2 linked regions of the Elephas maximus indicus genome follow. The protein of the gene in region 2 interacts with the protein of the main gene of each other region in a pairwise test. Links are inferred from orthologs where the notes say so. Each region holds a gene or a part of one and is shown on either strand. Other genes may lie near its edges. The genes, in order: PRKRA and ADARB1.

Region 1 (14,844 bases), on a different chromosome or scaffold from region 2:
CAAATCAAGTTTAGTTGTTCCCACTTCCTCAAGTTTCTTTTCTAACTGCCAGAATCTCAAGCTTTATACGTAGGCTGATGAGATATTAGTATTCACTTACAATGCTGCATGCCGAAGCTACCCAAATAATTGTCATGGAGAAGTGAGAAAGTCTGTATTAAATCAGTCGCTCTTGGTTTTTCGTTTATTTTTTTTTTGTTTTCTAGGCCTGATTACAGCTTAGTAATGCCCATCTTATCTGTCAAGAAGCACAAATATAGTAAAGTTTGTTAGCCTTCTTTTTGCTGACAAAGTGAAGTGCTCATATGGAGAAAGAACACTCCATACGCTCATTTATATGAATATACTCAACACTGTTTTGTTGACCTTTGGGCTGCACGGAAATAGCATGGTCATCGCACGGTTTGTGGGAGGGGTGGGGGATAGATGACACTCAATAACTGCTGTGCCACTTGGCATGTCTTGAAAACTAGCATAAATCAATTACAACACATGATCCTAGAGAATCAAGCATCATGTGAGATCCAAGGCTTGTCTCAGGCAAGTACTTATCTGCAGGGTCGCCATGGCATTGTTAGTCCTAAGCTATCCAAGAGGTTTAGAATGACTTAGGGAGAGGAGCACTGAATGAGAACCCAAATGCACCTCTAAGCCAATGTTGCTATGGCTGGGGAAGAAAAAAACCATTCTAAATTCCCATGAGCCTCTGCTGTCAGCTATGACTAGATGATACCAAATTGTATTCCAAGTATGTCTGAGTGCATGTAAGAAGAATCTGAAGGCATGCCATGCTCCAAGACTGTGCCCAGTAGAAACCAAAGGGCACCACTTTATGACACACAAGATGCTCCAGGACCAACACACTTTCCAAAAGTACCTAAAGTGGTAAAAAAAAAAAAAAAAAAAAATTTAGAAAAACATGTCAAGAATTAATATCCCACATACTCTTACACTTGGTATACATGCTATAATAAAAGGAAATCTCTGTCTTCTGCTTCCTAATGAGAATTCCTAAAAGAGTGCTTTTAACTGATCTTTTACCATGCCACACTTTGTTTTCTTCAATGCAGAAATACAAAGTCTTAATAAAGTAAGAAATTGGTGAGAAAAACTCTTGGTTTTCTACTGTTGCATCCCCTCTGGTTGAAAAAAAAAAAAAAAGGTAAAGCCTAGTTCATGAGAGTCTTCTTTAATAGCTGGACTTAATTTTTTTTTTTTTTGCTAGCAAGTTGATTCTGATTCATGGTGACCTCATGTGTGTCAGAGTTGAACTGTGCTCAATAGGGTTTTATTTTTTAAATTTATTTTGTTGTTGAGAATATACACAGCAAAACATACACCAACTCAGCAGTTTCTAAATGTACAATTTAGTGACTTGATTACATTCTTTGAGTCATACAACCATTCTCGCCCTCCTTTTCTGAGTTGCTCCCTCCTCATTAACATAAACTCACTGTCCCCTAAGGTTCCTATCTAATCTTTCAAGTTGCTGTTGTCAATTTGATCCCATGTAGTTCTTAAAAGAACATATTGTTCAAGGCAGACATTTGTTACTAGTTAAGCTAAATGACTGGTTTTAGTAAGACTTCAGGGAATATTTTTGGTTTAAGTTTTAAAGATTATCTTAGGGCAGCAGCTTCACAGGTTCATCCTTCATGGCTCCAGGAAGTCTGGAGTCCATGAGTATTTGAAATTCTGTTCTGCATTTTTCCCCTTTTGATCAGGTTTCTTCCATGGAATCTTTGATCAAAATATTCAGTAATAGCAGGCAGGCACCATCCAGTTCTTCTGGTCTCATGACAAAGGAGGCAGTTGTTCATGGAGACAACTAGCTACACATTCCATATGTTCCTCCTGTTCCTGACTCTCCTTCTTCCTCTGTTGCTCCAAATGACTAGAGACCAGTTGTTGTGCCTTGGATGGCCACTTGCAAGTTTATAAGATGCTAGACACTACACAACAAACTAGGAGATAGAAGTACTAAACACGTTATTAGGCCAGTTAACTGGGATGTTCTGTGAAACTATGACTAAACCTCCAAACCAGGGAACTAAATTCCATGAGGTGTTTGGTTGTTCATAAGTAGCCTCAACAGCTCCTCTTGTTGTAAATATATCTATTACACAACTTTTTCCAGTTCAACTTTTACAGGTATACAACTTATTGACAGCAATTATAATAACTGGCTGTGTAACCCTACCCTAAATCAGTGCAATTTTTTTGGACATAATTTTTTATAGGTAAAGTTGTCTTTAAATGGATGACAGATTTGAACAAGGAATAGAATGTCCGGGCTAAGATACTAACAATTGTTCACTTTGTTGCTTTTTTAAGTATGTTCAAACTTTGAATCTTACCTCAGCCATTGATATTTTTGAGCTGCAGAATACAAAGAAATTTAGCTCACCAAATACTTGCATTGGCTTTCAAAATGTTTATGGCAGCCTCTGCAGCTCTATGTTTCGCCAGCTTCTTACTTGTACCTTCACCTGAATTAAGGTTTAAAAAAAAAAAAAGATATCTTTATAAAAAATTCTTTATACCCATAGGTGTTTTCTTAATACGAAACAAAGTCAGTACAGGTTTTATATATATACCCTAGGTAATAAAAACATACATTACATGCAGTTATACGCTGTAATAAAATACCACATGAAAAACATTAAAATACAATTTTAAAAATTCTGTATATTTAATTCTATGCATACCTGTATAAAAACCATTATTGTTACCCCCACTCCTCACTTATCAACATGGTTCAGTTCCAGAGACCAGGTTGTTATGCAACACTTGGTGTTATGTGAGGAAGATGACCAGGGAAATGGGGATGCAGGGCACCCCAGGCGCTCTTTCATTTGCCTTAGGCCTGACAGGTGGTGCCTGACAGGTGATGCGCCCACCACAGCAGGTCTGCTCCAACCCCCTTCTTCCTCTTAGCTGTAGTTTCCCTCCTCCTCTCCCCTTGCTGCCAACCCCTCCCCCACTGCTTCTCACCTTTTCCTTCTACTCCCTTAGTCTTCTCCTCCTCCTGCTCTCTGGCGTGCTGGGTTGGGAGCTAGCTGGAACACGGGGACTGGTGCCAGAGCATGGCTCCTCAGAGCTGGGCAAGTCTGCCCCACTGGAGGGACTCAGTGCGCAGTGGGTGCAGGCCCAGGTGGGGGCCTTTCCTGCTCGACTACACCATTCCCAGATTTGTCACCAGCCCTCCTGGCTCACCCCCACCACTCCACGCTGCTGGGAGCTGCTAGGAGCTGGGCACCTGCACCCACCGCTGGGAGGCGCTTCCTGGGAGCCCAGGGCACTTCCTCCGTGCAGGCTGGGGCTAGTATGGGAGGTCTGTGGGGGCGGGTGGGGGCGTGGTGACAGCATGAGTTACCCTGCTGGGTGACACCAACCCTCCTGACACCATTGCAGCCAGTTACTCTCACCTCACACCTCAGCATTCATTACTGCCAGACACATGTTAATGCAAAAATGCAGATTTTTTACTATTGTCATAAATGCAAAATGTTGGAAAACAAGATAAGTGAGGAGTAGGAATATTTCTACATTATATTTACTGCATAAAATTGTAATAAAGTAGACGATGTCAATACAATTTAGTATTCTTCCCTTATTCTTGGGGAGGGAGTAATTTTCTCTGCAGCAAGAACTGATTTCTTGGATGGCAACAAATAGTTTCTTTTAAAGGAGCCACTTGCAACAGAACTGTTGGACAGAAAATGTGCATCATTTTATTTTGACAGCCCATCCTATACTGAATCAAATCCCTCAGCACTCACGACTACACACTGGGCATACTGGGGGAAAGTTTATATACAGAAGGTAATAGTTTACTTATGTGTATTCCATACAATGTCTATCCCTTACATGGGTAGGGAGGGGAGGATAAGAGTGCCTAATCATTAAGGGTGATGTCTGAATTTAAGTAAGCAATACCTAGTAAATGGTTAATCTTTTTCCTTCTGAGTCCAAACTGGGTGTTGAGAACACCTGCAGAGTGCTGACATCCATTCCTTTGGTATGGAGAGAAGAAAAGGTGGCATGGAAAAGGTTTCAAGTGTGACCATTCAAGTGTAACAGGGCACACAAACCGTATCCGTTTATCCACCAACACAGATATTAGGGGTACAGAGGATCCTGCACACAGAACACAGCCTAAATACAGGACTCCATCTGTAATCAATCATGTGAAACATGGCGTGGTAAGGCAGGCCTAAGTGGAGGGTATGGGGAGCACACAAGAGGGGCAGCTGCTCTACTCTTGGAAAGGATTCAGAAAGATTTCACAGAAGAGAGAGAACAGAAACCTGAAAGATTATTAAAAGTAGGTAAGGTGAAAAGAGCTCAGGGATTAGAAAGAGCATTCTAGGCAGAGAAAAGACCATCTGGAAAGGCTTAAAGGCAACACAAAATACCGTGTTCTCAAGAGTCCCAAGAGGTTGGACATGGCTAAAACAGGAGAGCTTGAGGGAGGAAATTTTGAGATAAAAGCCTAGAGAGTTGGGGGTGGGGAAAGAGCGATCTTGTAAATTTGTGCTTCTCAGTCTTCAATGTACATAGTAATCACCTGGAAATTTAGTTAAAATGCATACTCTGGTGTAGAAGGTCAGGGAGAGGGACTGACACTCTGCATTTTCATCAAGCTCCCACGTACTATTGATGCTGCTGTTGACCACACTTCGAGAAGCAAGGTTGTAAGCCATGCTATGAAATTTGTATTTATGGATGGGGAAACCATCAACTGGATTTTTAGCAGAGAAGTTATAGGAACAGATCTGAATTCTAGGATGAACACTCTGTTGTAGTGTGGAGAATGATCTGGACATTGCAAGACTAGAAGCTGAAAGAGAATCAATGAGACTAGCTCTAATCCAGGTGGCCTGGATAGTAACAAGGGAAAAAGGAGACAGACAGATTCAAGAGATATTCAGGAGATAGGATTTGGTTATAGACTAGACCAGCAACAGAGGGAAGAGTCAAGAAGATGAAATCCAAATCTCCGGTGTGAGCAACTGGGTGATGGTGGTGCCTTTACTGAGATAGGGAGTGCAGGGAGAATAGGTTTGGGGGAAAAAAAGATGGGCTCAGTTTGGGACAGTGAGAGTTTGAAGTGCCTTTGGATTATCCAAGTGAAGATGCCTACCAAACACCAGCTGATAACACTGTTCATAACTGGGCTTAGACTGAAGGCAGAGATTTCAGAATTATGCTTTGGGTAGTATTTGAAGCCATGTTGGCAGATAACCCTGTACAGGAAGACAAAGCAGTGTGTTAAGAGAAAAGCTAGTGGGCAGAATGGTTGCCATAGGTTGTCAATTCCTGGTATTAACCACAGTGAGGGGGAAAAAAAGGCTACCTTTTCAATGAGTAAAAATAGACGAGATGAAGCAGTAATGAAATGTTGACTCTATGGTTCACCCAAGAAACCTTCCAGCCAGCACCAACAATCCACCTACCTCACACAGACAAAAAAAGCTTCAAGATTTTCTTAAAGTAACTTCAGTGAGAACAGCGGATTTCCGGTAATAAAAACAAATGATGCCTTCAGATTACCAGATCGTGGAATTTCAGTCTTACTGAATTTTTTTTTTCTTGGTGTTTTTTCAAATTTAGTATTTAACATTTTGTGTTTGCAATTAAATAGATCATGATAAAAAAAAAATGTCCACACAGATGGACAACTTTAGCTACCATTTGTTCAAGTTCACAGACTATTATAAGGTGTCTGTATGAACTCTGAAACTTCATTGCTATGTGCCCTTGGACATACTACTTATAATCTCTCTAAACCTGATTCCTCATGTATAAAAAAAGAAGAAGACTGTATATAAAATACCTGTACAACTTCAGGAACTATAATTTGCTGATTTTGTGAAGCTTCTGCCCTTCTCATTTTGCTTGGATACAGAATTGAGTGTGGTACAAACCACCAAATGAGTCCAAAGAGAGTGGGAGAAGCTCAGAAAATTCTGGGGTCATGGCTTCTAGCATCTGCTATAATCTATAAAATGGTCCTAACAGCACCTACTGATCCAACTATGGCTGCTCCAACCTGCTTCTCCCTAATTCCTGTGGTCTGAAAGGAGCCGTACAGAAGTCCTGAGTAACTTTTTTTTTTTTTTACGTTTCTGAGCTTCTCTTGCTATCCCAGAGAAGAGAAAATCAGATGAAGTTGAAATGTCCCAATGACCTTAGATGAGGTGTCTCGGTTTCAAAATGCCTTCTCCCCATAGCTGTTTCTGGCAAAAAGAACACCTTTCTGAACGGAAAAGCAACACCAAGTCTTGGCTGCCAACCCCCATGGTCATAGGGGTTAACTGTGTATACAGACCTGTGCAGGTTATGTCACCAACGGTTACTCTGAAGGTGAAAGTGGGCACATGTATTTGCACATCTGATCTTTCACATTCATAAACCGGGATGTTCTTGGTCTTCATGCCGTATTCGTGTAATACCTGAATCGGTGTTTTCCCTGGCTTAGCTGTAATCATCTTCCCCAAACTGCAGAGACCAGAAGAAAAGTGTGCTTTGCATGGCAAAGCGTGGAGGGAAGCAGACGCATACAGAGGCCAGTTCTGACAGCCACCAGCAATGATGGGGGGGCGTCTCAGCTTCCTGGCAGCCTGAGCCGGCGAGGCCTGGGTGCACCTGTTTCCCGGCCTCGCTGCGGCGGGCACGGGACAGAGTGTGGGAGGTCTTTAGAGAGGTAACTTGAACGCAAGTACAGGAGTTCTCAGGGGAATAGGACGGAGCCCGGGGCTCAGGTCCAAGCCCGCAACCCTCTACCCGAGACCGGCCCTTACGGGAAGTGGCGGCCGCGCGCCGCCTCCGCCCACCCCGCGCACCGCCCAAGCTGCAAGGGGGCGGGGCCGGCCTAAGACGCCTGCCAGCGCGCCGCCGAGTGGGCGCGGCCGAGCGCCCGAGCACCGCCCGCAGCCGCGAGGAGGGGCCGGGACGCCAAGAAGGGGCTTTACCCAGAATGCCACGGAAGGGCCTCCCCTCCCCACCACCTCCCGCCCTGTCCGCCTCGGCCCTGGCTGAGCGGGCGCTGACCTGAAGGTCCCGCTGTCCTCGCGCTCCAGCGGCGGGGCCGCGGCGCGATGCCTGCTCTGGGACATGATGAGAAGGGACGGGTCGGCGGAGGGGGAAAGAGCGGTGAGGAGCGACGTCCTCGCTCCCCGGGTCGGCCGGCAGCCGAGAAGAGCGGTCCAGCGCCCCAACCGCCGCGGCCGCCTCCTCCCCGCCTCCCACTCCCCCACCCTCCCTGCTTGCGTCCCTGCTGGGAGGGGGCGGGCGGGGGGCGGAGGCGGAGGCGGAGCCTCGGCACGGCTCCCACTGTCCCCGGCTGCCGGCCACGCCTCCCTCGTTCCTACAACTCCCGACCCTTCTCCTTGCCCGACCCGCCCGGCTAGTAGTTCTTCCCGGCTCCCGGCCCCGCCCTTCCCCTCTTCCTACCCTGCTCCGCTCCAATTCCGGCTCTTCTCGGCTCCCGCCCTTGACCCTTCTCCTCCGGCGGCTCCAGGTCCAACTCCACACCTGGCCCCGCCTGCCCTCCCGCCGCCCGGCGGTAACCGGGTTCTTTGTCCTTAAAAGGAGGCCGTTTCCTGCCCGGCGAGAGGTTTTGTCAGGGGCGGACTCAGGGTCTGTGAGGCTTGAAGCTCAGGCTTTGTTATATTTTTGCGGCATGGATGGCTGGGTCCTTTAAGAAAAAGATTCAAAATCCAAATACAGTAGTGCTAGGGCCCCTGCCTGGGCCTGCCCGCGAAGCTTGAGACTCAAGCCTCGCGGGAGATCCGGCCCTGAAGGCTGCGGTGGACGTCCCCGGCTCCCAAACCCTGCTGTTAAGGCAATGTGGAGCCCTCCCGAGACCCTCACTCGCCGAGCCGGCTCCTTTGTCTTCTAGGCTTTGGTCGCGACGCTGAGGTAAATGCTGGTCCAGCGGACCCCGGCAAGGCACGTTAGGCGTAAACGGAGGCTTTTCTGTGGACAAGATTCCAATTAAACGCAGTTTCTCAGACCTGTTTCGTTGATCTAATTTGTTTGCCTGGGATGCGCCACGTTTGGTAGGGGGCAGACAACGACAACAGATGCGTTGTTTCTCTAGGAGTTTGGTATCTCCTTGCAGAAATGACTACCTGTGCTTACTTTATATTAAGGAAAATGGAAAATTGCACAATGCTGTTCTCACAAAGGGACATTATTAAAAGCCCTTTTTTTTTTTTTTAAGTTGCATGTGAGTCCTGGATACTCGAAAGCAAATGAAAAAATGTCCAGAATCCTAGATGGATTTTCTTTATTTGAGGCTTGAATTAAGCCTGTTCTTTCTCCTTCCTTCTCTACCACTTCGTTATTATTAGTTACGTTTCACTAAGATGTTTTAATGACTATCTTATTGTGAGCAACATATAGCCATTATTTCACAATACATTAACGTCTACATTACATCTATGGTAATGCAATGTTTCCACACTATTGTTTATAAAATTTTTCCTTAACCACCAAACCAAACCCGTTGCCGTCAGTCAATTCCGACTCAGCAACCCTATAGGACAAAGTAGAACTGCCCCCATAGAGTTTCCAAGGAGCACCTGACCTGTCGACCTGTTGATGAGCAGCTGTAGCTCTTAACCACTAAGCCGCCAGGGTTTCCATAACATTCCTTAAAAACATGCCAAATCTTGTTATGTTATTGTCATGTGCTGTGGAGTCGGTTCTGACTCATAGCGACACTATGTACAACAGAAGGAAACACTAGTCCTGCACCATCTCACTATCGATGTTGTGCTTGAGACCTTTATTGCAGCCACTGTGTCAGTCATCTTGTTGAGTGTCTTCCTCTTTCTTGCTAACCCTCTACTTTACCAAGCATGATTTCCTTCTCCAGGGACTGAGCCCTCCGGATAACCTGTCCAAAGTACATGACATGAAGTCTATTCATCCTTACTTCTAAGGAGTATTCTGGCTGTACTTCTTCTAAGATAGATTTGTTCCTTGGCAGTCAGGGGTATATTCCATTAATTAAAAGGCGTTAATTCTTCTTTTGGTCTTCTTTATTGTCTTAGTCATCTAGTGCTGCTATAACAAATACAAGCGGATGGCTTTAACAAAGAGATGTTTACGTCCTCACAGTAAAGTAGACTAAAAGTTCAAATTCTGAGCATCAACTTCAGGGGAAGCCTTTCTCTCTCTGTTGGCCTTCTTATCAATCTTCCCCCCAGGATAGGAGCGTCTCTGCATGGGGACCCGGGTCCAAAGGATGCGCTCTGTTCCCAACACTGCTTTCTTGATGGCAGGAGGTCCCCCACTCTCTGCTTGCTTCCCTTCCCTTTTATCCCTTGTAAGATAAAAGGTGGTGCAGGCCACACCCCAGGGAAACTCCCTTTAGGTTGGATCAGGCATGAGACCCTAGGACGTTACAATCTTACCCTAATCCTCTTTAACATAAAATTACAATCACAAAATGGAGGATAACCACGCAATACTGGGAATCACGGCCCAGCCAAATTGATACACACATTTTTGGGGGGACATAATTCAATTCATGACATTTATACATTGTCCAGCGTTCCCATGCATATGAGGCAATTGAAATACCATGGCTTTCGTCAGACGCACCTTATTCGTTGAAGTGACATCTTCGCTTTTCAACAGTCTAAAGAGGTTTTTTGGCAACAGATTTGCCCCATGCAATATGTTGTTTGATTTCTTGACCGCTGCTTCCATGGGTGTTGATTGGGGACCCAAGTAAAAAGAAATCCTTGACAACTTCAATCTTTTCTCCGTTTATCATGATGTTGCTTATTGGTCCAGTTGTGAGGATTTTTGTTATCTTTATGTTGAGCCATAATTAATAATGAAGGCTGTAGTCTATGACCTTCATCAGTAAGTGCTTCAAGTTCTCTGCACTTTCAGCAAGTAAGGTTGTGTCATTTCTATATCGCAGGTTGTTAATGAGTCTTCCTCCAATCCTGATGCCTCATTCTTCTTTATATAGTCCTGCTTCTTGGATTATTTGCTCAGGATACAGATTGAATAAGTATGGTGAAAGGATACAACCCTATTGCCCACCTTTCCTGACTTTAAACCATACAGTATCCCTTTGTTCTGTTTGAAAGACCACCTCTTGGTCTGTGTACAGGTTTCTTATGAGCATGATTAAGTGTTCTGGAATTCCCGTTCTTGGCAATATTACCCATAATTTGTTATGATCCACATAGTCGGATACCTTTGCGTAGTCAAAAACAAGGTAAACATCTTTCTGGTATTCTCTGCTTTCAGCCAAGAGCTATCTGACATCACCAGTGATATCCCTTGTTCCACATCCTCTTCTGAATCCAGCTTGAACTTCTGGGAGTTCCCTGTTGATGTACTGCTGCAACTGCTTTTGAATGATCTTCAGCAAAATTTTACTTGTGCGTGATATTAATGATATCGTTTGATAATTTCCACATTCTGTTGGATCACTTTTCTTTGGAATAGGCACAAATATGTATCTCTTCCAGTGAGTTGGCCAGGAAGCTCTCTTCCAAATTTCTTGGCATAGACAAGCGAGCACCTCCAGCCCTGGTGTTTATTTAAACATCTCAGTTGGTATTTCGTCAATATCTGGAGCCATGTTTTTTGCCAATGCCTTCAGTGCAGCTTGGACTTCTTTCCTCAGTATCATTCGTTCTTGATCATATGCTACCTCCTGGAATGGTTGAGCGTTGACCAACTCTTATTGGTACGGTGACTCTGTGTATTCTTGCCATTTCTTTTGATGTTTCTTGCGATGTTCTATATTTTCCCCATAGAATCCTTCAATATTGCAACCAGGGGCTTGAATTTTTTCTTCAGTTCTTTCAGCTTGAAAAATGCCAAGCATGTTCTTCCCTTTTGGTTTTCTAACTCCAGGCCTTTGCACATTTCATTGTAACACTTCACTTTGTCTTCTTGAGCTACCCTTTGAAATCTGTTCGGCTTACCTATTTGACATTCAAGAGCAAGTTTCAGAGTCTCTTCTGACATCCATTTTGGTCTTTTCTGCCTTTTTAAAGACCTTTTTCTTTCTTCGTGTATAATGTCCTTGATGCCATTCCACAACCTGTCTGGTCTTTGGTCATTAGTGTTCAATGCATCAAATCTATTAAAGATTGGGAAACTGGGATAATGATGGGACAAAAAGAAAATAAATGCAACAGGATCATATTTCAAAGAGATGTAATCCATGTGTCCAGCTTCTGAGTAAAAATCTCTATGTAGTATGGTTTATACAGTTACTTAATGTTTCTTTAATTTAGTATTTTTTAAAGATTGGCATACAATTGTTCCACTATATACTGTGAATTTGTATTTAGTATTAAGTACTTGGTTTTGTAACATAAACCCATTGCTATTGAGTCTATTCCAACTCATAGTGACCTGACAGGGCAGAGTAGAACTGCCCCATAGGGTATCCAAGCCTGCAGTCTTTACAGAAGCAGACTGCCACAGAGTGGGTGGTGGGTTTGAACTACTGTCTTTTTGGTTAGTAGCCCAGCACTTAACCACTGCGCCACAGCATACAACAAGGGAAATGAATGGGAAATGCTAAAACAATAGGCTATATATCATAAGAACGCAATACAATTTTCTGTTGCCAAAATTGGATGAAGGAATTCCCTTTTGACTAAGTCCACTGTAGCTGGTATCCAGGGCTAATGTTAGTGCCTAAATTGCATTATCTTCCATAGAGCTATATATGCTCATCTCAAAACTCACTCATTGGTACCTGCAAACCACTACTAAATGTGACCCTAATCAAGAACATTGGTTGTGTTTTAAAATAATTAGTTTTCTGTATATATTTTAGTGCCGTAGACTGCCATTCCAAATTAAACTTGCTTTTGGTATATCATTTTACAACTTTGATCTATAATTCATTACCTCAGCGCACGCGGGGAGGCTGTGTTGTGAATTCTACACTGGTAAACTACTTGGTGAAAACCATGCTTTGGATTTCTAATGTATGTAAATATATTTAAAATCAAGCTAGGTTTAATTTTGTGCCTGATTTTCTACTTTGAAAATATGGATTTATTATCTGGAGGTTATAGTTGATGACATTTTGATCTTATATTAATAATATGTTTGCTGCTGCTACCAAGAGCTTTGTCAAGCAAGTTGGAGATGGAGGGAGATTAGTTCCTGTTCCAAGCCTCAGTGAAGCTGACAAATACCAACCCCTAAGTCTGGTGGTAAAAAAGAAGCGATGCTTTCTGTTTCCTAGATATAAATTTACCTCAACACCTTTTACACTGAAAGACATTCTCCTAGGAGACAGAGAAATTTCAGCTGGTAAGTTTAAATGTCTGTTTGGGAGTTAACTACTCATTCAACTGTATAATTGTAACCTAAACACAGGTTGTATATATTACTAGTGTTAGTGATACTAACACACGTTTTTATTGATAAAAGCAACTTTTATTACAATAGTAGTAATAATACTAAGACTAATGATGCCTGGAATTTATATAAGAATTAAATCTCGTTTGATTGGTGAAATAATTTCCACATCTATGAATTATTTTCTAAGATGTTTTAATCAAATTAATGTAGACTGTAAGAAAAAAAAAAAATTTATGGGGGCATTATTTGGTCTACCTACCTCAAAGAGTCAAATGAACTATTGGAGATGTAAGTAATTTGTAATTATTTATTACAATACAGTTATTACCAATGGTAAACTAAAATATGTTTATGGGCTAGGTTAGAAACAAACAGGTTGACATTTTGACAAATTATTTCTTATAAATACTTGCCTTTATTTCAACCACCCAGTGAGTCTTTATGCTTAAGAAGTTCTGTTGACTGAAGAGGGAATTGGAGTTCATTTTAAGAATTCTGGCTGTTTATTTCTTTTTATTGGCATATTAATTGAATTGCTATTTTAAATCTTGGTTTAAATCGTTGCCCTTATTAACATTTGGGTGTTTTGAGTCTTAAATTGTAAAGTAACATGTTACTAAATGTAATTTACCTTAGATGGATTTAAGACATTTAAAATATACTAATTTCCTTTTCTTTAAGGTATTTCATCTTATCAATTACTGAATTATGAAGATGAGTCAGATGTTTCACTCTATGGAAGGCGGGGCAACCATATTGTGAATGATGTTGGGATTAATATCGCTGGATCAGATTCCATTGCAGTAAAAGCTTCATTTGGTGTAGTAACCAAACATGAAGTGGAAGTATCAACATTACTCAAGGAAATTACTACACGGTCAGTATAATAATCCTTAATATATTTGAACGTTTCCATTAAATATTTTAACTATATAAACTTCACTATAAAATATTTTAAAACATTGGCCTGTGTTTTACTAGTGTAGTTCATTTTTTTGAAACACTGCAAATTAGTGTATCTAAGTCTTGGATTAAAAAAAAACCAAAAAACCATACCCATTGCTGTCAAATCGATTCCAACTCATAGCAACCTTATATGATAGAGTAGAACTACCCCATAGGGTTTCGAAGGAGTGGCCAGTGGATTCAAACTGCTGACCTTTTTGTTAGCAGCTGAGCTCTTAATCACTGTGCCCTCAGGGCTCCAAACTTTGGATAAAGGTAGATATTGAAAATCATTTAGCTTAGGGAATTTTTAATTGTTCCAAAAAATTGCTTTGGCTCTGTGCACATTTGCTAAATTATTAGACTGAAAGAATACAGGAATCTGCCTGCAACAAATATACTAAGAGATTCCTCTCTAAGAGGCTCCTATAATAAACACACTTTAAGAAAATAGAAAGGAGAGGCAGAGTATTAAATTTCTTTTGAGCATACTTTCTGATTTCTTTCAGGCTTTCCTTGATTTGCCTTTGTTTTTTTTTGAATTGTAGTGCAAATATACACAATAATACATCCACCGATTCAACAGTTTCTTCATGTACAGTTCAGTGACATTAGTTACATTTACCATGTTGTGCAACCCTTATTTATCCCTATCTTTGTCCTAGTATTCTACCACTATTAATGTAAACTCAGTGCCACCCATGCAAAAAAAACCCCTTTTCCACCTCCCTTCCTCTCTCCCCTGGTAACCAGTAATAAGCTTTGGTTTCTATAAAACCACTGCCATCGTGTGGATTCTAACTCATAGTGACCCCATAGGGCTTCCGAGGCTGTAACTCTCTATGGACACTGACTGCCACATCTTTCTCCCCAGGAGCCTCTGGTGGTTTTAAACTGCTGACCTTTTGGTTAAAAGTCGATTGCTTTAACCACTGCACCACCAGGGCTCCTTTGGTTTCTGTATATTTGTTAATTTCATGTAAGTGAGGTCATACAGTATTTGTCCTTTTGTGACTGACTTAGCTCAGCGTAATGTTTTCAAGGTTCATCCATGTTGTAGTGGCTGTCAGAACTTCATTTCTCTTTATGGCTGAGTAATATTCCATTCTATGGTTGTACCACATTATTTGTTTATCCATTCACCCTCTAATGGATCTGCTAATGGAGTTTCCATTGTTTCCACCTTTTGGCTACTGCGAAAAGTGCTGCAGTGAACGTTGGTGTGCATGTGTCTGTGTGTGTTCCTGCTTTCACTTCTCTGCTTTGATTTACTTTTAGTTAAAATGGACTGTGAATGGATAGCAAAAACTGTCCCTCATTCTATGGAATTATATGTTATTGGTTCTTGTGAATGTCTTTCTTCTTTATTTTAGAAAAATTAATTGTGACCACAGCTTAATACGTCAGTCAAGGAGCAGCAGAAAGGCAGTACTGTGTGTGGTCATGGAAAGCATTCGAACCACACGGCAGTGCTCACTGTCTGTACATGCTGGAATCCGTGGGGAATCAATGCGGGTAAACCACACGCAT
Region 2 (15,175 bases):
GGTGGATGGTGATAGGTACATGGTGGATGGGTGGGTAGATGGTGATGGGTGGCTGGATGGGCGGGTAGATGGTGGATGGGTGGGTAGGTGGACGGTGGATGGGAGGGTGGATGGTGGACAGATGGTGGATGGGGAGGTGGACGGTGGATGGGTGGGTGGATGGTGGACAGGTGGATGGTGGATGGGCAGGCGGATGGTGGATAGGTAGGTGGATGGGTGGGCGGACGGTGGATGGGTGGGTGGATGGTGGACAGGTGGATGGTGGATGGGCGAGCGGATGGTAGATGGGTAGGTGGATGGGTTGGTGGATGGGTGGGCAGATGGTGGATAAGCAGGTAGATGGTGGACAGATAGATGCCACCCTATTCCTCCACTGTCACAGTGCTCCACACCTGCCAGGGAAGTACTCTCTCACAGATGAGAGTTGGGCTGAGACTGGGAAGAAGGCCACCCAACACCTGCCTGCATCACCACCACAAGCAGTGGCACCTTAAGATGGGAAGACTTAGGGGTCTGGATCTCTATGTCTTCCAAAGACTCCCCACACCCCCATTCACATGTCCGTCCTAGAAACGTGGGGTGCCTGACCTCAGACTGGAGCACACCCTGGAGGTGCTGCCTGCCCCACAGCAGTCCCCACACAGTATGCGGCATGGTCCGGCACCAACAGGGTCACAACATTGACTTGACATGAAAGCCTGTCACCTGGAAATCATGAAGCCACCTACACAAAACAGTGCAGGCGAAGGGGGGGCTCTGCACGTCGCCTCCTACTCTTCCACCTGCCCTTCCCAGCTCCCCATCACTGCTCATCCACTCAGCGGTCATGCTGTGACAGGAAGAGGGCTGCGACAGCTGCCCCTATGGGCGGGCTGGGTGCAGAGCACACCACACGTGTTGGGCCACTGTCCCGCCGTGGGACTGCATCGGCTCCCGGGCCGCAGTATCTGCCAGCGCAGCAGGATCTGCTCGGTGGAGGTCCTGCTCAATATTAAAGGAGCACATTCTTCTCTTTCTGCCATATTTTTCTGATGATTAAGCTAATTCCTCCGAGTCTCATACGAAGCCGACAGTCAATTACGTGCCCTGAGGAAGGGAGTAACTATGTGGATAATTCAGGGGTGATGAAAAATCACTGAAATTTGATTGTTACTAAAGCCGAGTAGAAGCAAATCACTTGCTACTCCATTGTTTTCAATAAATAATTACATAAAAGCGAGGCATACGTTATACCAGTCTTGGAAAGAACAATACACCCATCTGCAGCACCTTAAAATCGTACGATGCTAAAAATTATGTGTTAAATCTGGTAAAACTTCACCAATTTGGTATAAATGGAACGGTCAGTCTTAACAATATCCATAATTTTTAAAGGCATTTTTATTAGTTTCAAATATAGTGCATATTGTAAGAGTGGGTACCAACACACAACCCTGTCTTGTCTAAGAGCATTCACAATAAATTCACACCACATAGCAACGTCCAGAGAACAGAGTCATTTAAAACATGGACTTAACTGCTGCATCTTGTAACACACTGAGTGTAAGATGTTGGTCTGAAAATGCAATGTATGTAAGGAGGGTTTTTCTACTGGAGAATAAGATTCTGGAATTTGTACACAGTAGGGCTAATATGAGTCATCTGGATTATAGTAAAGGGGCTCTGGTGGCACAGAGGTTAAATGCTCGGCTGCTAACTGAACCCACCAGCTGCTCTGTGGGAGAAAGATGTGGGCAGTCTGCTCCCTTAAAGACGACAGCCTTGGAAACCCTATGAGGCAGCTCTACTCTGTCTTACAGGGTCGCTATGAGTCGGAATCGACTTGACAGCAACGGGTTGGATTATAGCGTGTGTGCCCTGGACACACAACACCAGAGGGCACAGTGCTGATGAAGATCCAAGGTTTGTGACCCCCAATGCCTGACACGAAGTTCCATTAAGTATAATTGTCTTTTGGCCTTTGTTATATTTATCAGGTTGGTTTTATCATATGATTGTTGACTGAGAAATTAATTTCTTCTTCCGTTTTTTTTAGGAAGCCACAGTAAAAACCAGCTAATTTTTATCTCCTGAAGGGATGTCTATCTCATGCCTCAGAACACCAAGGGGTGCTGAGGTGGTGAGGGACCTGGTCCAGGTCAGTCCTGTCAGTTGGGGACGGGGAGAGAAGGAGAAGGTAACAGCAAACACAGAGGCTAGACACTCAATCATCATGGCAAGACTGACTATTCCCCTAGCTAGAAGAATCTTTTCACCTAAGACGAAATTAATTTCCTATTAATTAATTAAATAATTTTTATATGAAGACAAGGAGCCCTGGTGGCACGGTGGTTAAGTACATGGCTACTAACTGAAAGGTCAGTGGTTTGAACCCATCAGCTGCGCTGCGGGAGAAAGATGTGGCAGTCTGCTTCCGTAAAGATTTACAGCCTTGGAAACCTACGAGGCAGTTCTACTCTGTCCAATAGGGTCACCATGAGTCGGAATCAACTCAACGGCAATGGGTATTTTTTTGGTTTTATAGGAAGGCAAACTATCAGCAGCTTTTAAAGCAACAATTCACCTCTAACAGCCAACAATGTGTAATTTTATATAGTCACGAACAACTTTTTGAATCTGGTTTTAAGAAAACATAGAGTTTAGTGTCTTAACACATCATGGTGAATTAAAAACTGAAATTAAATTAACCTGGAGCAGTGAATATAAGGAATATTCTCTGTTCTTTAAAAGGAAAATATTTTAACAATGGTTGCCACAATCTTACTTTCTACATTATAAAGAATAGTTTTAACATTAGGGAAGTCATTAATAGGGTGGCAGGAGAAAGGACAAATATTATAAAGCGTCTCTCTTGAGAGGGGAAAACCTTTTAATATTCAAAGCTACAAACTTCTAAGCTTTCATCAATATCTTTCTAAAAATACACTTTAAACTCCGAAGCTAGCATGATTTATGCACACGTTTATATGCATCTTTTTACAGTTTCCTTTTTAAGCTAGCCCCTCAGTCTCTTTAAGGTGCCAAGAAAAAAAAGAGAGACGCTTTAAAAGGGATGCTATGAAGTCACTGGCATCAGCAGGACTGCTAACTCACAAAAGCGGTCTACCCCAGAAATCAGCCCCTACTTCACATTTTCACCATAAAAACTAAACAAATTACCCTTCCTCTCCGAGCGTTTCTTGCGCCTCCTTTTAAATCGCCGCCCCATGATGCTGAAGAAGGTCCCCACATGTAAAGTTGCCGTGACAAGGGACGCCATGCCAACGAGCCGACCCCCAGCCACAGCCAGCCCAGCTCTCGGGCGCGTCCCTCAGTCACTGGGGCAGTCACACGGAGGCTCAGCGCTTAGCATGCCACCGCCGCCACAGCCACAGCAGCCCTCTGCCGGCACCCGGGTGGCACCCGGCACCCGGCACCCGGCACCCGGGAGGGAGCCAGCTCTCCCCCTCTGCCACAGGCGTGCTCCTCAGCTGCACAGCTGCTGGGCTGAGGGAGCGCAAACCACCAGTCACTTCCCGGCTGGCCGTGCCACCCAGAACGCGGCACGTGACAGTTAACCCTTCCACACCGCCACTCACAGAACACCACACGGAGAGGGAGGGGAGAGGTGCCCAATGCCTGGGGATCTTTCTAGGGAGATGGCCCACAGCAAACAGATCAAAGGCCTTAAAAAAGTCCTTTCTGTCTCCTTGAAAACAAAGTTCCTAATATAATGAAATTAAAGTGTCAACAAAAGAGTTTTACTGTTTAAAAAGTAAGAGGCTGTCACGCAAGGCAGCCGGTGGGATGAATCCATAGAAGGGTGTTGCTAATAAAGCCCCCAGAAGGACAAGCACACCGCACTTCCAATGGCGGCCCCTGCTGACCGCCCTCCTGGCAGGGCGCTCCCTCCTTCCCTCCCTCCTCCTTGCCTGACTCAGGCCCTGTGGTGACTTGCTGGGGTCCCTACTTCACTGCAGGGATACCGCCTACTCCGGGGGGTTATGAGCACCCAAGGGGCAGAGGCTAAGACTGAAACCGCTCCTGTGCTCCACAGCGTCTGGCAGACGGACCAGGCAGCCTGGGCCCTCATCTCTCTCACACACACATGCTCGCTCTCACACGTTCTCTCTCTCACACACACATTCCCTCTCACACACACACATTCCGTCACACACACACATTCTCTCTCACACACATTCTCTCTCACACATTCCCTCACACACACACATTCCCTCACACACACACATTCTCTCACACACACATTCCCTCTCACACACACATTCTCTCTCACACATACACATTCTCTCCCACACACACATTCCCTCTCACACACATTCCCTCACACATTCTCACACACATACATTCTCTCTGACACACACATTCTCTCTGACACACACATTCTCTCTCACACACACATTCCCTCTCACACACACTCCCTCACACACATTCTCTCTGACACACATTCTCTCACACACACATTCTCTCTCACACACATTCTCTCACACACATTCTCTCATACACACATTCTCTCTCACACACACACATTCTCTCACACACATTCTCACACACACACATTCTCTCTCACATACACAGTCTCTCTCACACACACATTCTCTCACACATTCTCTCTCTCACACACACATTCTCTCTCCCCCACACACACTCACTCACACACGCCTCATGGAGTACTCGAGTACCTTTGTCACTTGGGACCCAGCCCATTGTGCCGGCACAGCACAATCCATAACCCTCAACGCCCTCTGTCTAGACTAACACAGCTCCAGCCCCAGGGAGACCCTCCCACATCTCCTGTCATATGCTCCTAAACAAAAGTTAATTGTACACAAGTGCTCTGGAGCCCGTGGGCTGTCTTGCTGCTGATCTTGCCTATGGGTCATGCTTCAGGTTACACTGAGGATTTGAGTGGCACGTGCACTGAGGTGAAAGAAATGACAAATGAACTAACCTGTCAAATCCTTCCTCTCAGCATGATGTACTCTTATTTTACATAACACGGTACCATTTCCCAGTAATGTCCCCCGTCTGTTTTCCTATTTATTATTCCTAAGGTACATGCATTAGCGCAACAGTCACACAATTGTACATGGTGATCGAGGAATATTTTGTCATATTAAGTAATTCATTAAAAAAAAGCCCAACTGCCTCATGGCAATCCCATGTGGGTCAGAGCAGAACTGTGCTCCATGGGGTTTTCATGGCCGTGATCCTTCAGAAGTAGATTGTCAGATCTTTCTTCTGAGGTACCTCTAGGTGGACTCAAACCTCCAACCTTGCAGTTATCGGCTGAGTGCATTCACTGTTTGTGCCACTCAGGGACAAATGATTCATATTGCTCCTAAATTTGTATGAGAGTGTGTGTGAAGGTCTAGACATACCGGGCGTAAACCATATGATATTGATGCTCTGTGCTGGCAACCAGACGGACATCAAACACCAGACCTGTCAATAGTTTTATTTTTATATATTTATATTAACATATAACACTAATTATAAACAATATGTTAATTGTTAATATACAAAATTATTGATATTAAATAGTATTAACATTAACTTAATAAAAATTTCAAGGTGTTCAATTAAAATTCAGCTTTAAATAATTTTAAAACTGTGATATTACTCAAAAGAAAAAGTCCTCTAACTATGTTAGAGAACAAACAAGAAAACCTCTCTGGAACTACTTTGTATTGGAGCCCTGGTGGCGCAGTGGTTAAGAGTTTGGCTGCTAATCAAAAGGTCAGCAGTTTGAACCCACCAGTCATTCCTTGGAGACCCTATGGGGCAGTTCTACTCTGTCCATAAGGTCACTACGAGTTGGCAACCGGTTTGGTTTTGGTTTTATAGGCATCTTTATTAACAATTCCCTTGCAAGGAATCAAAATAAGTTAGGTACATAACCATGGGAAACGACCAGTGGTTAACCAGGTCTAGAGGACTGAAGATTGGCCAAAGCTTAAAAAAATCATCACATTTTTAAAAACTCACCCCGCTAAATAAGAATGCCTTGTGCAATGTCCCTGTCGCCAGTGCAGGCGCCCCGCCCCCAGGAGATGCAGGTGCCGGTCGGGGCGTGAGGGCTGCCAGGAGAAGCCACATTTGAATTTCAAAGCAAGGCCCCAGGGGTCTCCTAATGGGGACTGAACCAAGGAAGAAGCAATTTGAAAAATGGAGCTGAAACTTCCAGATCTCATCCAGGATAAATAGTTTAACAAGAGTTTCAAGCAGTCCAGATCAAACCAATAGCAGTTTAAGGTAAAAAGACAAATTATAAAAAGTTATCTTGACTCTGGATTCTTTAGGATGAAATTACTGAGGAATAATCGAAGGCTTAAAAAATTCAGGTGAAAAGAAGGAACCTCTCCCCAGTGGCTAGATACTCTCAGGTTAAAAAGAGGGAAAAAAATCTGTGATTTCTCTACATCGGGGCTTTGTTTGAGTTTTGTTTCTAGAGGAGGCTAAGCTTGATGGGGGGCCTTCATCTCTGGGACAGCCTCCATTCACATTCACACCACATCTTTGCAAATGGCGCAGCCAAGTGGAGCCACTCCCAGGAGAGGCTGGCGTGTCTCTGCGCCCCCTGCTGGCTCTTGAAGGACTTGTCCGGGGTGGGCTCCAACCAGCTGAAATCAAGGGCTGGTTTTATGGCTTTGGGATTTCCTATTACGGAGTTTCCCAACCAATACACAAGTGATGACTGCCCCTTTCTTTGAAATGAGAAAATTCTAATTTCTCCATCATAACCCAAAAAAGACAACAACGTTCTACATCTAGCCACATGGCAAGTTATAAGTATATTCATGGAAAGAAAAACTTTCAAAGTATACATATACTCCTATCTTTAAAATTTCCAATTGTTTAAATCAGATAAATCAGAATCCATAAACCTGATAAGCCAAGAGACGTAACAAAAGGATATTTGGATTTGTTTGGCAGCCTCTCACTGGGTCCTTTTCAGAAGCAAACGGCACCGGTGAGGATACGACCCTGTAATGTGGCCACAAAACCCTAGTATGTGCATAGCTTTTCAGGAGTCCATCAAATCTATCAAATAAGATAATACTGTCAGTGAAGATACATGAGCACCACCATCTTCAGTTATACATTCATAAAAAATTAACTGGGGGTTTACAGTCTATGGAATTTTCAATCATCTCGTGCACATGGGAAAGCTGGACAATGAAAAAGAAGGCTGAAGAACTGATGCATCCGAATTGTGGTACTGGCAAAAAATGACTATACCATAGACTGTCAGAAGAATGAACAAATGTGTCTTGGAGGAAGTACAGCCAGAATGTTCTTTAGAAGTGAGGAAGGCAAGGCTATGTCTCACTTACTTTGGACATACCATCAGGACTACCAATCTCTGGAGAAGGACATCATGCTTGGTAAAGTAGATGGTCAGTGAGAGAGAGGGAGACACTCGATGAGATGGACTGACACAGTGGCTGCAACGATGGGCTCAAACATACCAACAATTATGAGGATGGCACAGGACCAGGCAATATTTTGTTCTGTTATTGTTGGGAGTTGGAGTTCGAGTTGGAGTTGACTAAATGGCCAATAACAACAGCAAATATTGTGAAAGATGTCACAGTGAGTTTGTTAAGAGAACTTGCACTGGGCTCATCCAACATCTGTGCGTCTGTCTTGTGTCAAGGCCACCGTGGAGTCATTGATCCAGCACATTTCTCAACACTTCTTGGTTCAATAAGACCAGGTCCACTTAGGTTCCTGCTAACTAAAACACACGTAACAGTCTCTAAAAGACGTGCTCGTTTCCTGACCATAATGTTGTACAATCTCACTTGATGTTGGCTCTACGTTAACATAAAAAATTAGATAAAAGTGGCAATGCCATATATTTTGCCTTCAACTAATAATCACATTGTGTTTTCCTCATCAAATGACGCAACCCAATGCACCATAAATCTTCCCAACATGATGTACACTTTATTTGTTCTTTCCTGAAAGAGCAATTTAGAACCTGCCAGCATGACAAAGCGAAGGGCACCCTCACTGTGGTAAATCTGGGGCTGTGAGCTGTAGAGGCGCACCAATGGAGCAGCCCCTTCTCAAGGCACATTAATTTGTTTTAGAGTCATTCCAATTAAGTTACCAGAGTTGAGGTGGTGTCCTGACTCTGTATCTCTATCCTTTCCTGCTTCAGTTCTCCCTGCTTCCTCCTTTCACCTTTAGGGTTTGTCTTATTCATCTAGTGCTGCTATAACAGAAATACCACAAGCGGATGGCTTTAACAAAGAGAAAGTTATTCTCTCACTGTCTGGCAGGCTAGAAGTCCGAATTCAGGGCACCAGCTCCAAGGGAAGGTTTTCTCTTTCTGTCAGCTCTGGAGGAAGTTCCTTGTGATGCAGCCACCTTCCCTTGGTCTGGGAGCATCTCAGCACCTCAGGTCCACAGGATGCGCTCTGCTCCCAGTGCTGCTTTCTTGGTGGAATGAGGTCCCCATGTCTCTACTCACTTCTCTCTTTCATATCTTAAAAGAGATTGGCTTAAGACACTATCTAATCTTGAAGGACTCATCAGCGTACATGCCACTAATTCACCTTATTACATCATAGTGATAGATTCACAACACCTAAGGAAATCGCATCAGATGACATTACCTAGTCAAGCTGACAGATATTTTGGGGGGACAGAATTCAATCCATGACATTCCACCCTTTGGCCCCCCAAAATTCATGTCCTTGCCACACATAAAACATCTTCAACCCATCATACCAGAGCAAAAGTCTTAAATCAGCTGCAAGCCCAAAATCTAAAAATTCCTCTTCATCTGCAAAATCCAGAATATAAGTTATCTGCTTCCAAAGTACAATGGCAGAACAAGCACAAGCCAGACATTGCCATTACAAATGGGAGAAATTCGAGAGAAAGAAGGCATAACAGGCACAAGCAAGTTAGCAGAACACATTACATTAGCCCTCAAGCCTTGAAAATAATCCTCTGTTCTCTGAGACCATGTACACAATAGCCCTGCCCTCCAGACTCTAGGTACTGGCCGCACTCTCCAGATTCTGAGTGGAGGCCCCTCGGCCCTGGGCTTCAGCTCCACCTTCCAGGCCCACTGAGATGGCAACTCTGCTCTCTTGGCTTCAGGCACACCATTCTCCTAGTCCATCTAAGCGAAAACTCTACCCTTAGAAAACCAGAGGCCATGGATCCGCCCTCTGAAACCCCAGAGGTCCCGGCCATACCTTTTGAGACTAAGTTAGCTTGGCTTCCTGTGTTCTTGTCTCTTCAGCTTCTGCTTCCTTGTTTCTTGGCCTCTCGGCTCCTCGGGCCTCACGCCCACATCTGTCCTGCTGGGGCAGGTGTTCCAAAGCTCTGCAGATCCACCAATAAGTGCCTGGAGGCACCCCACTCCGCCAGTAAACTTTGGCCCGAAGGCACTCAGCTCTCTCGCTCCAAGGGTCAGCAAGCCTAGCTCCAGGGCCAAGTCCCCAGAGGCAGCCCACTCTGCCAGGAAGCCTCCTGCGCACAGGCGCTCAGTTCTCTTGCTCCATGGGTTGGCTCCAGAGCTGTCTGGCGCTGGTCTGCTGATTCTGCTATTGCCGGTTCGCTGCTCCTGCCACCAGTCCTCTGCTGCTGTTTCTCACCATCTGCACCTTCTCCAGTGTTAACAGTTCTCCTCATCTCCCTGAGTCTTCTATCCATTCACAGCTTCAAAATCACTTCCATGGTTTAGGTGTCAGTTAGAGCAGCACCCCACTCTCGCAGCACCAAATTCTGTCTTAGTCATCTAGTGCTGCTATGACAGAAATGCCATAAGTGGATGGCTTTAACAAAGAGAACTTTATTCTCTCATAGTCCAGTATGCTACAAGTCCAAATTCAGGGTGCTGGCTCCAGGGGAAGGCTTTCTCTGTCTGTCGGCTCTGGGGGAAAGTCCTTGTCTGGGAGCATCTCAGTAGGAACCTCAGGTCCACAGGATGCACTCTGCTCCCCACACTGCTTTCTTGGTGGTATGAGGTCCTCATGTCTTTCTGCTCGCTTCTCTCTTTTATATCTCAAAAGAGATTGGCTTAAGACATTACCTAATCTTGTAGACCTCGTCAGTGTAACTGCCACGAACTCATCTTATTACATCATAGTGATAGGATTTACAGCGTTGGAAATCATATCAGAAGGTAAAATGGTAGACATTCATGCAATCATACAAGGAAATCACGCCCTAGTCAAGCTGACAGATATTTCTGGGGGACACAATTCGATCCATGACAGGATTATTTAAGAGAAACATAAAGAGGATGCTTGTGTCCAGGAGAATGGAGGAAGTCACAGCAAATGATTAAACTGACAAAGGTTACTGTTTAAAAATATTTTAAAGCCCTTTTTTTTTCCAATTTTAAAAGTGCACCTGTTTGCTACTTCAGTCGGCTATCTTTGCAAGTTAATAAGGACATATAATTCTAGCAGAATGTCAGAAGTAGCCATTCGCCATTTAGCACTGACATTCCAGGTACCTAGTGAATTTCCACCACCGGTCTGCTAGTTTGTCATACTGCGTACCTTCCATGTTGTTGCAATGCTGGAAGCTACGCCATTGGTATTCCAAAAACCCATGATGAACAGATTCCAGTGGAGCTTCCAAACTAAGACAGACTAGGAAGAAGGGCTTGGAGACCTACTTCCAAAAATCAGCCAATGAAAACCTTACGGATCCCAATAGAACACTGTCCAACTCACTTGCTTTGGACACATCAACAGAAAGGAGGACATCACGCTTGGTAAAGCAGAGGACCAGCCAGGACGAGAGAGATCCCTGATGAGATGGACTGGCACAGTGGCTGCAACAATGGACTCAAATATGCTGGCAATAGTGAGGATGATGCAGGACCGGGCAACATTTTGTTCTGTTACACATGAGATCACCATGAGTTGGAGCTGATTCGACTGTCTCTATCTATCCATCCAGTTAATTTTATTTTTACCTGTCCTCAAAGTAAAGACTCCAAAATTTAATGTTCTGAGAACATTCAGTTAAGATAAAACTCTTAAAAAGTATTTTTCTACTCTTAAAATAAGAAAAAAAGATGCTTACCCACTAGAATTCTAAACTCTCTAAATGATCAGGTATTCACTCATTGGTTATTTAAGAATAGTCAACACATGGGAAACCGTGACATTACTTAATGTCATATTGAAGTGCCTCAGAAATGTTTGTTAATAACAAACATAGCAAATACTCATTCCTCCAACTGACACTGAGTGGGTACCTACTGTATACCAGGCACTGTCCTAAGGGTTTGGGATACATCTGTGAACAAACAGACAAAAACCTCAGCTTTCGCAGAGCTTATATTCTAGCAGGAGAAAGACCGTCAGTGGTAAGCATAGACATTAATTACATCACGCTGTGTGTCAGAGATGACAGGCGCTGTGCTAGGAAGAGGACTTGAGTGGGTACCAGGCAGGAGGCAGCAGTACCAGCTTGGTGAGAAGCTGTGATGAAGCAGAGCCCCTGGGTGGTAAGAACGTCAGCCATGACAGTGCCTGGGGGAGAGCATCCTGGGAGGGGACAGAAGGACAAAGCCCCTGAGGCAGAAGCAGCAGCAGCAGTGTGCCTGGCATCTTCCAGGAAAGGCTGCAAGGCCGGAATGACTGCAAAGGAGTTGGCAGGAGAGACAGGAGGGAAGAGAGGTGGCCAAGGGGCCCCGAGGTGCAGACACGTGGGGTCTCCTAAGCCACTGTAGGACTGAGGTGATCACTCTTAGGGTACAGACCACCTCAGAGCTTTGAGCAGAAGGGATATGGCCTAACCTGCTTTTGAAAGGAGGTGCTGACCACTGGTGAGGACAGATGTGGGGATGAGGGCTGAAGAAGGGAAGAGCCGAGCAAGCAGCAGGAAGTGGCCACATTCTGAATGTCGAAGGTTCAATGTCAGGGTAAGAGAGGAACAACCCCGCAGCTTCTGAGCACTGGAAGATGGGGCAGCTGACGGGAAACGCTGAGGTTAAGAGCAGGAGTTGGGCCTGTCGTCTTCCAGTGGAGATATCTGTGAGCTACCCGAGGAGATGCTAGAAGGACGCAGGGTCTGTGTCTGGGGTGCAGCCTGGCTAAAGACCCACAGCTGGGCTCAATGGCACCAGGGAGAGTGCGAGAGGTTGCTGGGGAATGAGTAATAAAGTGACAGAGACAGATAAGCCCAAAGACTGACGCCTGACACTGCAGCTGCCGGAAGAGGAAGCTAGAGGCGGGGGAGCCACTGAGGCCAAGTGCTCAGTGGGAGCTGATAATGTGACCATGGCCACGAGTCAGTTCACTGAAACCTCACTGAAGTCAGCAAAGTGGATTCTGTACTGATGGCATGAGGGCACGTAGACACGCCACCATGTTTTCACAACTGTCACTCAATGAAACCTCACCACGGCCTGCAAAGTGGGTTCTGTACAGACTGCGTGAGGGTGTGTGGACACGCCATCATGTCTTCACAACCATCAGGGATACTGTTCACAACTGAGTCCTCGTGAGAGGAGCTATGCCCTGCACATAATGGGTGGCTACACCCCGTGACCACAACTACAGTGCCACGGGGCCTCAGGCAAGTTTCTTCTCCTCTGCCCCTCAGACTCCTCATCTGTAAGTCATGATGACAGTTACGCACGCCTACCCCTGCTCCACCCCCTGCCCCCATGCAGTCCTCTTCCCAGCACGTTCCTGTTGTCTCTGACACACAGCATAATGTAACGTCTGCTCCGGGCACCGCTGATGGTCTTCCTTTGCCTTGCTAGAATACAAGCTCTGTGAAGGCAGAGGTTCTTCTCTTCAGGTGAGGACAGGGTAGGTGCCACCTGAGTTTCCGCTGCTATGGTATTTTACCGCTTTATAAAGAGGGGACTGGTGGGTGAAGGGGTTACGTGGCCTGCCCAAGTCCCATGTCCGATGAGTAGGAGGACTTGCTGGAATCCAGGGTGCACCAGCCTAGAACTGAGCTCACCCCACTCTGCAGGGCTGCCCCATTAAAGCAAAAACACTACTGCCAACATTATATATTTTTTAATATATTCAGATTCTTTATAAGTAAAAAAAAAATACACCAATTCTTCAAACATTCTATTTCCCATCAGCCCAGAACGATCACAGTTTTCAGCCCGCCTGCAGCATCCTTCAACTCACTCACGATAAGGAATTCAATTAAGCTTTTTGCATTTTCATTTAAGATGACTTCACCCAGGAATTTTCAGTCAAAAATCCAAATGTACGTGTCTCAGATGAGTGCTGATTTTGAAAGGCAAAAAGTAACATATTTTGAATCCTGGAATGGCTAGGATTTTTCCTCAAGGGCAAGCAATCTCAACCTTCTCCTGTTTGTCAGCCAAGCTTCCTCAGGATTTATGAACAAAGGATACAAAGTGACACCTGGGTTATGTGATCCTAAAACGAAACATTAGACTAAAGCAGTGGAACCATGACATTATTTTACACATAAACTTTAGACCCTCAAGAATTTTTTTAAGAAGTATATAAGATGTACAAAATTGTATCTTCCAATTCCATAAAAAACAAAATAAGCCAGCCCATAATTTATTATAGTTAAATTTATAAATTATTTTGATAAAATTTAACTTACAAGTCCTATCACTCACTGAGGATCCCTGGTGGCATAGTGGTCAAGAGCTCGGCTGCTAGCCAAAAGGTCAGCAGTTTGAATCCACCAGCTGCTCCTTGGAAATCCCATGGGACAGGTAGCTATGAATCGGAATCAACTCGAAGGGAACAGATTTGTTTTTTGTTTTAATCATTCACTGAATTAAACCAGCTGTAGGTATTTCATACCATTGCCTCTTGGGTACTTTAAAAGGGTTAAAATAAAGCCAATTAACAGAAATTACAGAACTCATTGAACAAAGCCAGAATCTCAGCGCACATTAGGAATGCGTGGAAACTTGTATGATGTGAAACGAAGTTTTTCTTCGCTGCAACACAGTATGCCATCTAGCCTACTCTTTGTCTTAGATGCTAAGCTACAGCACCACCTACCGTTCTAAAGGAGTTCATCAAGCCTCCAAAAGACCAAAGTTGGAAGTCCGCCAGATGCTCATAGCCAGACACTCACAGCTGGGCCTTGTGTTCTGGGAGCCAGCCTGGCCCTCACAGCCGGGTCTGGTGTTCCGGGAGCCAGCCTGAGCTCACACTGGGCCTGGCCCTCACAGCTGGGCCTGGTGTTCTGGGAGCCAGCCTGAGCTCACACTGGGCCTGCTGTTCCAGGAGCCAGCCTGGCCCTCACAGCTGGGCCTTGTGTTCCGGGAGCCAGCCTGGCCCTCATAGCTGGGCCTTGTATTCTGGGAGCCAGCCTGAGCTCACACTGGGCCTGGTGTTCCAGGAGCCAGCCTGGCCCTCACAGCCGGGCCTGGTATTCTGGGAGCCACCCTGGCCCTCATAGCTGGGCCTGGTGTTCCGGGAGCCAGCCTGAGCTCACACTGGGCCTGGTGTTCCAGGAGCCAGCCTGGCCCTCACAGCTGGGCCTGGTGTTCCGGGAGCCAGCCTGGCCCTTACAGCTAGACCTGGTATTCTGGGAACCACCCTGGCCCTCATAGCTGGGCCTGGTGTTCTGGGAACCAGCCTGAGCTCACACAGGGCCTGGTATTCCAGGAGCCAGCCTGGCCCTCACAGTTGGGCCTGGTGTTCTGGGAACCAGCCTGAGCTCACACTGGGCCTGCTGTTCCGGGAGCCAGCCTGGCCCTCACAGCCGGGCCTTGTATTCTGGGAGCCACCCTGGCCCTCACAGCCAGGCCTGGTGTTCCGGGAGCCAGCCTGAGCTCACACTGGGCCTGGCCCTCAGAGCTGGGCCTGGTATTCTGGGAGCCAGCCTGAGCTCACACTGGGCCTGGTGTTCCAGGAGCCAGCCTGGCCCTCACAGCCGGGCCTGGTGTTCTGGGAGCCAGCCTGGCCCTCACAGCTGGGCCTTGAGTTCTGGGAGCCAGCCTGAGCTCACACTGGGCCTGCTGTTCCAGGAGCCAGCCTGGCCCTCACAGCTGGGCCTGGTGTTCCGGGAGCCAGCCTGGCCCTTATAGCTGGGCCTGGTATTCTGGGAACCACCCTGGCCCTCACAGCCGGGCCTGGTGTTCTGGGAGCCACCCTGGCCCTCACGGCTGGGCCTTGTGTTCTGGGAGCCAGCCTGAGCTCACACTGGGCCTGGCCTTCACAGCTGGGCT

The links.
Region 1: the proteins of ADARB1 (region 2) and PRKRA interact in binary tests that used the Homo sapiens proteins (3 or more experiments, as listed by UniProt). The link is inferred for Elephas maximus indicus from reciprocal best matches to the Homo sapiens genes ADARB1 and PRKRA.

The regions. Positions count from the first base shown.
Region 1 is NC_064824.1:76,728,638-76,743,481, forward strand, and holds the start of PRKRA (interferon-inducible double-stranded RNA-dependent protein kinase activator A), read right to left. Parts: upstream 7,265-14,844; 5' UTR 7,122-7,264; coding exon 7,057-7,121; intron 6,505-7,056; coding exon 6,335-6,504; exon of another isoform or gene 2,995-6,334; intron 2,490-2,994; coding exon 2,408-2,489; exon of another isoform or gene 2,358-2,407; intron 878-2,357; exon of another isoform or gene 1-877. Other genes in the region: PJVK (pejvakin), read left to right, coding at 12,108-12,318, 13,051-13,246, 14,688-14,829. UniProt on the Homo sapiens protein: Activates EIF2AK2/PKR in the absence of double-stranded RNA (dsRNA), leading to phosphorylation of EIF2S1/EFI2-alpha and inhibition of translation and induction of apoptosis.
Region 2 is NC_064820.1:229,720,736-229,735,910, reverse strand, and holds the start of ADARB1 (double-stranded RNA-specific editase 1), read right to left. Parts: upstream 5,493-15,175; 5' UTR 3,260-5,492; coding exon 3,160-3,259; intron 1-3,159. UniProt on the Homo sapiens protein: Catalyzes the hydrolytic deamination of adenosine to inosine in double-stranded RNA (dsRNA) referred to as A-to-I RNA editing.